3 linked regions of the Macaca mulatta genome follow. The protein of the gene in region 3 purifies or fractionates together with the protein of the main gene of each other region. This does not show direct contact. Links are inferred from orthologs where the notes say so. Each region holds a gene or a part of one and is shown on either strand. Other genes may lie near its edges.

What was found.
Region 1: the proteins of UBQLN2 (region 3) and RAD23A purify together in Homo sapiens (affinity purification with mass spectrometry; 3 studies listed by BioGRID and IntAct, with this or other methods). This does not show direct contact. The link is inferred for Macaca mulatta from reciprocal best matches to the Homo sapiens genes UBQLN2 and RAD23A.
Region 2: the proteins of UBQLN2 (region 3) and HERPUD1 purify together in Homo sapiens (affinity purification with mass spectrometry; 3 studies listed by BioGRID, with this or other methods). This does not show direct contact. The link is inferred for Macaca mulatta from reciprocal best matches to the Homo sapiens genes UBQLN2 and HERPUD1.

Annotation. Positions count from the first base shown.
Region 1 is NC_133424.1:13,511,558-13,515,643, reverse strand, and holds the start of RAD23A (UV excision repair protein RAD23 homolog A), read right to left. Parts: upstream 2,801-4,086; 5' UTR 2,714-2,800; coding exon 2,642-2,713; intron 838-2,641; coding exon 676-837; intron 516-675; coding exon 334-515; intron 198-333; coding exon 142-197; intron 9-141; coding exon 1-8. UniProt on the Homo sapiens protein: Multiubiquitin chain receptor involved in modulation of proteasomal degradation. Binds to 'Lys-48'-linked polyubiquitin chains in a length-dependent manner and with a lower affinity to 'Lys-63'-linked polyubiquitin chains.
Region 2 is NC_133425.1:52,535,354-52,538,948, reverse strand, and holds part of HERPUD1 (homocysteine-responsive endoplasmic reticulum-resident ubiquitin-like domain member 1 protein), read right to left. Parts: intron 3,046-3,595; coding exon of another isoform or gene 3,040-3,045; intron 2,867-3,039; coding exon 2,789-2,866; intron 2,701-2,788; coding exon 2,626-2,700; intron 1,401-2,625; coding exon 1,270-1,400; intron 1-1,269. UniProt on the Homo sapiens protein: Component of the endoplasmic reticulum quality control (ERQC) system also called ER-associated degradation (ERAD) involved in ubiquitin-dependent degradation of misfolded endoplasmic reticulum proteins.
Region 3 is NC_133426.1:56,539,250-56,543,627, reverse strand, and holds the start of UBQLN2 (ubiquilin-2), read right to left. Parts: upstream 2,844-4,378; 5' UTR 2,567-2,843; coding exon 1,132-2,566; intron 1,036-1,131; coding exon 692-1,035; 3' UTR 1-691. UniProt on the Homo sapiens protein: Plays an important role in the regulation of different protein degradation mechanisms and pathways including ubiquitin-proteasome system (UPS), autophagy and the endoplasmic reticulum-associated protein degradation (ERAD) pathway.

The sequences.
Region 1 (4,086 bases), on a different chromosome or scaffold from region 3:
GCCCGTCACTGTGGAGGGAGCAGAAAAGCCTGGGTCACCAGGAAGAGGAAAGGGCAGCTCCCAGGCCCTCCCGCACCCAGACAAGGCCCAGCTGATGGCTGGGGCACCCAGTCGCCTCTGCCCTGGGGACCACCCACCCACCTAGCGTGGAGGCCGCGTCTTCCTCTCGCCCGCTGCTACCTGAAGAGGGAACAGAGCTGCAAATTCAAGAGAGAGAAATCGGACCCTGGCTTCTGGCGGCTTGCCCTCCCTCCAGGTGTGTGGGCCACTTATGTGGACACTGGAATGTGCTAGGAAGACAGGGCCCAAGCTGGGACTGGTGCCCCGCCTTACCCTGACACAGACTCTGGGGACGTCGTAGGGGCGGATTCCTCTGATGGGCTCTTGTCCTCTCTGGCGGCAGGTTGGGGATGGGACATGCCTGAGGTGGGGGCAGGCGGGAAGGATGTAGAGGACTCTGGGGCAGCTGTAGGTGAGGCCTCTGGGGGTGCTGAGGTACCCTGGCCGGCTTTGGTCTGCGACAGCAAGAAAAAGGGAGCTGGCATCAGCAACCCTATCAGACCCAACAACCCGCTCTGCTGTGGCCCCGCCCTGTTCATGGCTAATCTCTCCTGGGCACACAGGCTCTTTGCCAGCTCCCCTGCTCATCCCTCCCAGCCAGCACACGTCACCCACCTTGGTCACCATGACGACCACAAAGTTCTTCTCATCGATGCGATAGTCCCTGATAGGGACATCATCGCTCAAGATCTTGCCGGCATAGATGAGTTTCTGTCCAGCCACGGGGAAAGCATCACGACCCTTCTCAGCTTCTATCTTCTCCTTTAGCACCTTCACCTAGAAGAAGTAGTACAGACAGTCACTGGAGACCCCAAGATTCTCTCTTCTAGTTTAGGACGGAGAAGGTGCAAGCCCTGATGGCAGAGAGGCAAGCATGCTGGAATTTTTAAGCTTTCTCAGCATCTAAAGCATGCTAGATAAGAATTCATTCAATCATCATGCCATTCAACATAGTATTTATTTATACTAAACACCTATTACGTGCCAGGTGCTGTTTTAGACATGGAGGCCACAGCACAGAACATAACACAAGTCCCTGCTCTCAATGAGAGAACACTAATGTGAAGAAAATGTTAATTTCAGGTGGCATAAAGTATGATAACAGAATAAAGGGGACAGTCCCCCACTCTACACTGTATCTTGGACAATAACAGTGACTAATAGTTCACAGTGATATTTCTTTTTTAAAAGACAGGATCTCACTGTTGCCCACACTGGATTGAAGTGGCACGACCACAGCTCACTGCAGCCTCAAACTCCTGGGCTCAAGTGGTACTCTCACCCAGCCTCGGGAGTAGCTAGGACTAAAGGTGCACACCACCACACCAGGCTAATTTTAAAAAAATTTATTTTTGTAGATAAGAGTCTCCTTATGTTAGGCTGGCTGGTCTCAAACTTCTGGCCTCAAGCAATCCTCCTGCCTACGCCTCCCAAATCATTAGGATTACAGAGGCATGAGGCACCATGCCTGGCCAATAGTGCTACTGTAAGTGTGTATGTGGCATACCTTTTAAGCTTCCTATGAAATACATTTAATTGGCCTCCTTTTATTTATTTATTTTTGTTTCTTCTTTTTGTAGAGAATGGGGTCTCACTGTGTTGCCAGGATGATCTTGAATTCCCAGGCTCAAGCGCTCCTCTTGCCTCTGCCTCCCTAAGTGCTGGGATTACAGGCGGAAGCCAGCAGGCGACAGGTTCATTTGATATTTTGAGAAAATGGAGGCACAGAGAGGTTAACTTGCCCAAAGCCAAACCGTTGAGCTGATCAAAAAATGTGTGTTTCCTTTTCTACAAAAAGTGGACTTCAATGTCTCCCTCACTGTGCAAAAAGTGCCAAGTACCCAATAGTCATTATGTTTGAATTAGGTCCTAATTCTATTTTTGACTAAAAAGGCAGCATAATATTTATATAGTGGACGCTCACACGAGGCAGAACCGAATGTGAATCCCAGCTCTGACATTACATGTGTGACTGTGACAAAGTTCCTTAACCCCAAGGTTTCCACATCTGTAAAATGGTCAGAGGTCCTCAATGACAAGCCCGTTCTGCAGAGCAGTAAAACAACACTAAAACACTCGATGACTGATAAAAAATAAACGCCCAAAAAACACGGACCACCAAAATTATAAAGACTGAGATCCCTTTATTATCATTAACATCGTTGTTGTCGTCACTACTCGTTATCTCCTGGTCATTACTCCTAGATTCCACCACCAGTGTCCCCAGGAGAAGCCTGCAAAGCTGAGAACGTGGAGCCCAGTCCTGGAGAGCTTGGCCTGCCCAGGCCTCCGAGCCTGTGACTCCCGCGCCCCGCGAGAGCGCTGACATTGGAGCCGGGACCTGGCCAGAGGCCCGGGGGTGGGGCCTCGCCCGGAGACCGGCCCAGGAGCGCCGTCCGATCCGCTGGGGACCGGGCTAAGGACCATCGGGGGGTCCAGGAAAGTCGGGCAGGTCGGGGGTCTGGACAGGGCCGACCCGCGCCGTCCTCCCTGCCCCTCCCGTTGGGATCCTAGTCTCCCCGCCCCCACCCCATCCCCGGCACCCGTCACTCCCGCCCCCGGGCTCTGGCCTGGCCCGCACCGTCTCGTCAGGCTCCATGCGGATCTTGAAGGTCTGCTGCTGCAGCGTTTTCAGCGTGATGGTGACGGCCATGGCGGGGCCCGAGCGACGCGGCGGCCCCTAGATCCTCACACAACATGCAACTCACGCCGCCGCCATCTTAGCGCCCAGGCGCGCCGCGCCGCGCGCCGACCACTTCCGGGGCAGGCGATGCGCGCGCTGACCACCGGCGCACGTGACCTGTGCGCACCCTCCTTGGCCTTTATGGGCATGCGCACGAGCGCGGTGTCGAGCGAGGCATGCGCAGACTAAACTCCGCGTTGTGGGCGTGGGCGGGGACGGGGCTTCTCATTCTGCCAGCACACGAGGTCTCCAAAGTGACGCCATGCCCGTTAGCGGTGACGTCACGGGAGTGCAATGGCGCGATCTCGGCTCACTGCAACCTCTGCCTCCCGGGTTCGTGCAGTTCTCCTGCCTCAGCCTCCCGAGTAGCTGGGATTACAGGGAACCCCCACCATGCCCTGATAATTTTTGCATTCTTTTTTTTTTTTTTTTTTTTTTTGAGACGGAGTCTCACGCTGTTGCCCAGGCTGGAGTGCAGTGGCGCGATCTCGGCTCACTGCAAGCTCCGCCTCCCGGGTTTACGCCATTCTCCTGCCTCAGCCTCCCGAGTAGCTAGGACTACAGGCGCCCGCCACCGCGCCCGGCTAATTTTTTGTATTTTTTTTAGTAGAGACGGGGTTTCACTGTGGTCTCGATCTCCTGACCTTGTGATCCGCCCGCCTCGGCCTCCCAAAGTGCTGGGATTACAGGCTTGAGCCACCGCGCCCGGCCAATTTTTGCATTCTTAATAGAGTCAGGGTTTCACCATGTTGGCCAGGCTGGTTTCCACCTCCTGACCTCAGGTAATCCGCCCGCCTCGGCCTGGCAAAGTGCTGGGATTACAGGCACGAGCCACTGCACCTGGCCCTGAGTTTTATTCTGGCAGATAGGGCAAAGTGGAAGTTACTCAAGACTAGAAATACCTGAAAGGCCACCAAGCAGAGGAAAAAAACCTTACATTGGTAGCAGGGGCAAGGTGCCATTTTGTAGCCTCATTCATTCTTTAGGGATCCGGATTTTTGGAATGAACCTACTATTTTAATTCCTGGGTCTCCCGCCAGGAGTACTTTGTTGTACTATCCCCAATCTGACCCCAAAAGTATTTAAAGATGTTAACTTTCAAAGCCTCACGACATTAAAAACAGAATTCTCCCTTGGATCTGCCAGTCCTAGAGGCATCCCAGAGGGGTTGGGCTGAGCCACAGGACCCCAAAGGAATAGAAGCATGAAGAAGGCCAGTTTAAGAGGGTGAACCAGATTAAGCCATTGTAGGCCAGCCTGGGCAACAGAGCAACAGTCTATCCTAAAAATAAAACCAATAAACAGAACCAAAACTTACCAGTTAGGTTCAAGGATTCAGTAAA
Region 2 (3,595 bases), on a different chromosome or scaffold from region 3:
TTCCTGCAGGTCAACTCATATCCTTAAGCACAGTTATATGTACTGGCTGTTCAATAAGTATTTGTTAAAGGAAATCAAGTTTAACTATGGTGAGATTCAGAAAGTCAAATACGAGCCTCAATTCTCAAGTTAGAAATAGTTGAATCAGAATAAGGGAAGAAGTTTTTCTAACCAATAATTTTCTATCCAATAATTATCCAATTTATATGCTGACAATCTTTTAACTAAATTCCATACACAGAGTATTTCTAAAATAGTATTCCAATACAAGTAAGCCTTGGTATGATACTGTTTTTGATCATTTAAGAAAATTACAGTGCATGGAAATGAAATGATAGAGTGCTTTTAAGATTTTTGTTAGATCTGATAATGGCATTCTAGATATACAGGATAACTAAAAGGTTTTCATAGTTATATACTCAAGTATATAGGGATGAAATAACATAACTGGGGATTACTTTTAAATACTTTTAAAAAAAAGGGGAAAAGGTAATAGATGAGGTATGGTAAAACTCTGATTGTTATTTATTAGGCCTGGATGATGGTGTGGGGATTAATTATCTAGTCCCCACTGTTGTTTATATTTGAAAGTTCCATTAAGGGAAAAAAAAAAGAAAAACTCACTCCTGAAACACCTGGCTTTATAAAATGTTGCATATAAAAACTACTAGGAAAAGGGGGATGGGGAATTGGAGAGTTATGGAATTTCAACTTGTAGTTAATGAATTTTTCCCAAAAAACAAGGTATTCCAAGAGCTATAAAAATCCAAAGAACACAGCATTTAGTTTTGACTTTTGCTCTAAAGAAAAGCTTTAATGGTTATAAAAAATGGCCAACTTTCCTAGTACCCCCAAGTCTCTGGAAGAATACTTCTTAAACAGTCTCTCCCTTGTTGTCACCCATTGTTACAATAAAGCACAAAGCCACTCAGCAAAGCAGCTGCACAATGCTTACAACAGCTTTTCTCCTGCAGCAGCAATTTTCTAGCATGACGGCAACCAAGTGGCCAGCACAATGGAAGGATAAAACACCTACATTTTTTTTTCAATATATGCATTGCCTACTTTTTAAATTTGTATATACTAAAAGGCTGTGTATTAAGAAAAGTTAAATATATAAGACATCTTTAAAGCGAAGCTATTTGTAAAGCAAAATTCTGTAGGTTTAAAAGTTCTGATTATATACATGTAAACACACCTTACTCTTCAATGGATGCAAATGAGGCACATTCACGTTGCATAAGCCGAGATCTTTATTATAACACTCACCTTGAGATGTTCTCCCATTCAGGGGAAGAAAGGTTCCGAAGAACTTCCCTTTGCCTTAAACCATCACTTGAGGAATCCTCAGGATACTGTCCCCGATTAGAACCAGCGGGCTGCTCTGTGGATTCAGCCACCTAAATAAGTGTAACATGAACACAGAACAAGGGAGCTGATGCAACTGTCTGAAATCAAGCGAAAGGAATTATTTTGCTGTCAAGGGCTTAATGTCTCCTACCCCCCACCTCTGAACGTGACAAAATTAAATAGAAGCAACATTATGTAAAAAAGTCTGACATTTATTACACACAATTTTCAATACACAGATGCTAACATATTCATTTTTTTCCCTACAGTAACGATGCTACACTTTCATTAAAATTTCATTAAAATCTTCCAATGAAGTTGTCATTGGTGAGAAAGCTTCTTGATAATGGTGTTAAACTTACTCATTGCAGAAATCTGACCAACAAGATTTATAAATAGAACCCGGCCCAAACTTTCTAAAATAGTATTCTCATACAAGTAAGCCTTGGTATGATACTGTTTTTGATCATTTTTTAAAAATTACAGTGCAGGGAAATGAAATGGTAAAGTGCTTTTAAGATTTTTGTTAGAATTGATAATGGCAAAATAGGGAATTTCCTATGCTCTGTTCAGATGTTCTAGGAAATATAATGCAAATTTAGAGTGCATCACTACACCAGAATACTAACACCATATATGTGAATAAACATTGTGAAATGAAAAATAAATGTTTTTGTCTGTCACATAGAAGTCTTTAGAGCCAGGTCCAGTCACACATGCCTGTAGTCCCAGCTACTCAGGAGGCTGAGGTAGGAGGATCGCTTGCCTCAGGAGGTTGAGAAAAGCCTGGGCCACATAGCAAGACCATATTTAAAAAAAAAAAAATTCTTTAAAGATCACTTGATAAAGACTCTGATCTTTTCCTATCCAACTAATCATAATGAAAATTTCCAGAGGAAATATATTCACTTTTGTACTCTTTATAAAAATTAATGGCTCCTTTGAAAAAACTTGCTATGTGCTAAATTCAATAAAAATCCAATCAGTGTTAGTTCAGTAATCTCGATACACAGTAACCATAGATCAAATCATATCCCAGAAGATAGTGCAATATGTAACTCCACTTTTCCACTACAGCAGTAATGGAACAATCTGCTACTATGAACCTATCACTTGTGTTGATAATACAGTTTCTAATTCCTAGGAAAGAAACAAAATATTACTTGGTAATAACACCATACAGTCTCTCAATAAAAGTTTTATCCAACTTCTTTTATTACTCCCCTGAAAGTCTGAATGATACAAATTGTTATCATCATGTAGAAGGAGACACACCTTGGCACTGACTTCTGGCATTTTTGAAGGACTCTTCACATTGCACACCAGATGCAAAACATGCCGTTTTTCCTGCTAAAAGTAATAAGAAGGCACTTAAGGACCTGAACCTAACCTGGTGAGTGCTTAAAAACATTCAGAGGTTAATGTGTAAGTGAGGTACCTTTGGAAGCAAGTCCCTGAGACACTGGTGATCCAACAGCAGCTTCCCGGAATAAATTAACCTCTGGTCCTCTGGACGCTGATCATGGAAAGAAAAACACAGGTCAGCATTTCACCCCCAAAAGTTCCTAAACACAGAAGAAACTGTTTTATACAAGTAATTTGATTATGTGTGTTTCCCCCCAGCATCACGGGAAAATACCTGCTCAAAAACCCCACATACAAAACTTCTATTTAGAAAGTGTCTTTAACTGGTCTCTAACATGCAAATAAATACAGAATGGCAAATTATTGGCTGGGCACAGTGGCTCATGCCTATAATTCAAGCACTGTGGGAGGCCAAGGCGGGCGGATCACCTGAGGTCAGGAGTTCGAGACCAGCCTGGCCAACATGGTGAAACCCCATCTCTACTAAAAATGCAAAATTAGCTGGGTGTGGTGGCTTGTGACTGTAACCCAAGCTACTCGGGAGGCTGAGGCAGGGGAATCACTTGAACCCGGGAGACAGAGGTTGCTGTGAGCCAAGATCACGCCACTGCACTCCGGCCTGGGCAACAGAGTGAGACCCTATCTCAAAAAAAAAAAAAAAAAAAAAAAAAAGGCAAATTATCTCCAGTCCAAACCTATGGCAATGTACTTCTTAACTCCCAGGTAAACTGATTCCTGTTACTAAAAGCAACAAACAGCAAACAGGGCACCTACAACCAAATCGAGTTCGGTTTCAGAGAAAACTCAGAGTACTCCCAAGGCCAGCCTTAACCAAATCCACCTAGCAGTGCTCCAAAATAATGTGAAGCTATCCTAAACT
Region 3 (4,378 bases):
ACACATATTACACTCAGATTCTACTGTAATATTTTTAGATGTACAGTGCCAACTGTGCTTACTGTACTGTATACAAATATAGCAAAAAAGATCAATGAATGGTATAAATCTTACAGCATTTTGCTAGCAAAAATACATGCCAAAGTCACAATAAGCAATATCGTACCACAAATTAGAGAGCTTCAAATAATTTGCCTCTGTTTTTAATATCTTCATTCTACATTAAATTACTATCATAGGCTAATGTTTAAAAATGCAAATAAATTGGACATCTGTAGGACAACACTTGTTCACCCAACTGTGAAGGTTGATACTTGTTTCCAAAAATCACAATAAATGCAGAATAAAGAGAAGTGTTTGCATGCAACACTTTTGAGTGAAACAGCATTGATTCCCACCATTCAAATCGGGTAAGGAAGGAAACTAAAGGAAATAAGGAAGGAAGGAAACAAAGAGGGAGGAAGGGGGGAGACAAGACGAAGGGAAGGAAAGAAAAATAAGCAAAGGAGAAAGGGAGTGAGGGAAGTAGGAGAGAGGGACTCCATCTTAAAATGCATCATATTAGACTGATAACTAGACAGATTTAAAAGAATCAAAATGAAAGTAAAGAACGATTTTGTGTGTGTGTTTAAAGATTTAAGAGCCATTATCAAAAATAAGATACATTTTTTTTCCAGGTACAGAAATGTGATTACGATGGCTGGGAGCCCAGCAGCCTTTCAATGGCTGCATTGATGTCGCCTCCTGTTGCTATTAGGGCCTGCAAGTTTGCTTCACGGTTTAAGAACCCCATTGCGTTGAGCTGTTCCAGTTGTTGCTGAAATCTGACTTCTGGATTCGGCAGCTGTGGAGCATTTGCTCCAGCCAGAGCCTGCACCATTTGCTGAATGAACTGCTGGTTGGGTCCAGATTCTGATGTAGGACTCGTGGTTTCACTGGGTGCAGCGCTGGACACAGTAGGCCCAGTGGGGCCACCAGAGCCGGTGGAGCCAGGGGGGCCTGCAGGGCCAGTGGGTCCTATGGGCCCAATGGGGCCTATGGGGGTAAAAGGGACTATAGGGCCTATGGGGCCTAGGGGGGTGACTGGGCCTACAGGGCCTATAGCGGTTCCCAGCACCCCCACCCCCACACCTGGAGTGAAGCTTGGAATCAGGCCAGGTGCTTCAGTGGCTAATGTCTGTAGCCCCTGCTGGATCTGCATTAAAGCCTGCATTGCTCTTGGGTTTGACATGGCTGACAGTGTGTCTGGATTCTGCATCTGCTGCAGGAAGGCTGGGAGCTGTGGCCGCATCTGCTCCTGCAGCTGAGGATTTGCAGTAAACAGCGGGCTATTCAGCATCATCTGTGCAGCCAAATCTGGATTCTGGCTCAGCGACTGCATCATGCTTCTCATGTAGGGCGCCGACAGCATATTCTGAATCAGCTGGGGGTTTTCAGTTATCTGTTGCAGCAGGCTCTGCATGCCTGGGGTACTAAAGATGCTGGCGACATAATTAGCGGCAGCAACGGTGTTCCCAGTAGCATTGCTGGAACTATTGCCAGAACCACTACCAGTGCTCGTGGTCGTGCTGGTAGTTGCAGAACTCTGGGTAGCTGGCGGTGGTGCCCATGGATTGGGTAGTGGATCGCGATTTTCTGTGCGGGAAGGCTGCGTACCTTCCCCAGAGGAGGAACTACTCCCCACGGAGGCAAATGGATTACCCCCAAACTGCTCTTGTGCGGCATTCAGCATCGGCTCTTGAATGTCAGTGTACATGCGCCGTAAAGCATTATAGCCACCTGGGATGCTTTCTAGATTGCTAAGAGCCAGGTCTTGATTTCTCATCATCTCTTGCATCATGGCTGGATTCCTGGCAATTTCGAGTGTCTGCCTCATTATATCTGGGTTGTTGAGCAGGTGACTGATTTCTGGGTTTCTCTGAATCAATTGCTGCATCTGTGGATTAGCCATAATGAGCTGCCTCATCAGATCGGGATTCGAAAGCATGCTCTGAACAAAGGGATTTTCCATGATCTGGATCATCATCTCAGGGCTGGCCATGAGCTGCTGCTGCATCTGGCTCTGGAGCTCAGAGAAGTTGGTAGAGCTCAAGCCCAGGCTGCTAAGGCCTGCAAGTCCTCCCAGGCTCCCCAACCCAAACGGGTTGCTATTTGTGGAAATAGGTGTGGAGTTACTCCTGGGAGTCGACGCCGAGGTAGCGTTAGTTCCCGCGGCATTGCTAGGCTGCGTGGACTGGCCCTGAGGTCGGTTCTGGCTTTTGATGACAAGGTGAACAGTGAGCCCATCATGGATGCCATGCTGGATCAAGGTATCTTGATCTTTTAAGATTTTTCCGGCAAAAATCAGCACGAGCTGATCGGTTTGGGATTTGAAGCGTTTCGAAATCGCTTCCTTAAACTGCTGAACCGAGCTGTTCTCGGGCACCGCGAACTCCTCTTTCTCTTTGGGAGTCTTCACAGTGACTTTGATGATTTTAGGCTCAGCCTGGGCAGCAGCCGAGCCTTGGGCCGCAGCAGGGCCGCGGGAGGGGCGCGGGGGGCCGCTGCTCTCGCCATTCTCAGCCATGGCGGCCGCGGTGACGCAGGCGGGCAGGGAAGGCGCGGGCGGGCGAAAGAGAGAGAGCGAGGGAAGGAGGAAGGAAGGAGGCGCCGCCGCAGCGGGCTGGGCCGGGTCGGGCGGGGAGCGCGGAGCACGGTACCTCTCTGATGAAGACTGCGGTTCCCTGGTCCTCCGGTGGAGAAAGGCCTGGGCGTAGGCCGCGAGCTGAGGTCTCCGCGCTCCGGTCTCTGGGCCTCCTCCTCCGCCGCCTTGTGATCCGACCGCGCGCACTCCCAGCAACTCTGGCAGCCGCTCCGCCTGCTGCTCCCCGCCCCTTCCCCTCCCCCAGTTCGGCGCTCGCCTCCCCGCCCCCTCTGCTGACGCGGCGCCAGGCCTAGATTGATAGATTTGGCTCGGTCAAAATTAAAAACTTCTGCACTGAAAAGAAAAAAAGGGAGAGAGCGAAACAAAGGGAGAGAGAGAGAAGAGAAGAGAACAGTACAGAGCAGGCGAGGCAGAGGGTGGGACGGAGAGAAGGAGGCGGTAGAGAGTCAGCTTCTGTAAACCACATTAAAAGACCAATGGAGAATGTATATTAGCAATCTGTAAGGCAGTAAAAGGGTGAAAGCCTGAATCGAACCGATCCCACATATAAGACGAAAAATGAATAATAAAGAACTCTGACAAAGCAAAAAGAAAGAGGAACACCCCCAATGGGGGAAGGGAAGAAGACAGAGCAGGAGCATGCATTTTACAAAAGGAGTGCAAATGGCCAATAGACATTTTAAAAAAGATGATTAATTTCACTAGCAATAAAAAAAAATTCAAGTTAAAACAATAAAATTCTACTTTTGGCTTATCATATTGGCAGGGAAAAAAAATAATGATAAACCTTGTTGTTGACAGGGACCCTAAAAAATGCACTCTCAGGCTAGTTGAAGTGTGAATTGTTACAACCATAGGGCAATTTGAAAATATATATCAGCATTTTGAATGTTTACACCTTTATTTAGAAATGCCTAACCTAGACAATTCGCCTAATAATCGTATGAGGATGCAAAACTATTTATGTATAAAATGTATATACATTGTAGCATTTAAAACGTTATTTAAATATATTAAATATCTGTTTACATAAGATTAGTCGAGCACATAATATTACCATACAAGAAAATATAGAGTGTCTTTAAAGGTATACATGAACTAAACTGTAGTTATAGGGAAATCACAGATTATTTTCAATTTTGCCTTTGTATATTTCTGTACAGTTAAAAACTATATAAGAATGTATGTTCCAATATCAAAAATACAATATATTTTTATTTTAAAAGCAATTTTTGAACAGTTAGTTGTATATGTAAACCGTATGTGTAAAAAAATCTGAAAGGCTATACACAAATAAGTTAATGGCTGTTAGTACTGTTTGCTGAAATTATGAATAATTCTTATTTTCTACTTTCATAAGATTTTGAATTTTCTGATGATTTTTGTAAGTATGCACTACAGAAAGGTATTTTGGGGAAGAGTATGGGTAGAAATTGACAGGCACATAATAGTAGTGGCAAACATTGACATATTTACCTAATTTCATTACAGATTAAATAAGAGCAATAAAGATGTAGCAATGCTCAGAAAGAGAACTTGAAAAATAGAAGAAATAATTTCAAATTTATCTATATATTTCTAACTCTAGGTTAAACCACACAAAAAATTATTCCCCTACCCCCACCCTCTACCAAGCAGCCACCAAAGAACCACTGATTTGAACATTTAACAGCATTTCAAACTCATTAGGTCACAAATACTTTAATAAATCTCAAGATAAGAAAAATATATATA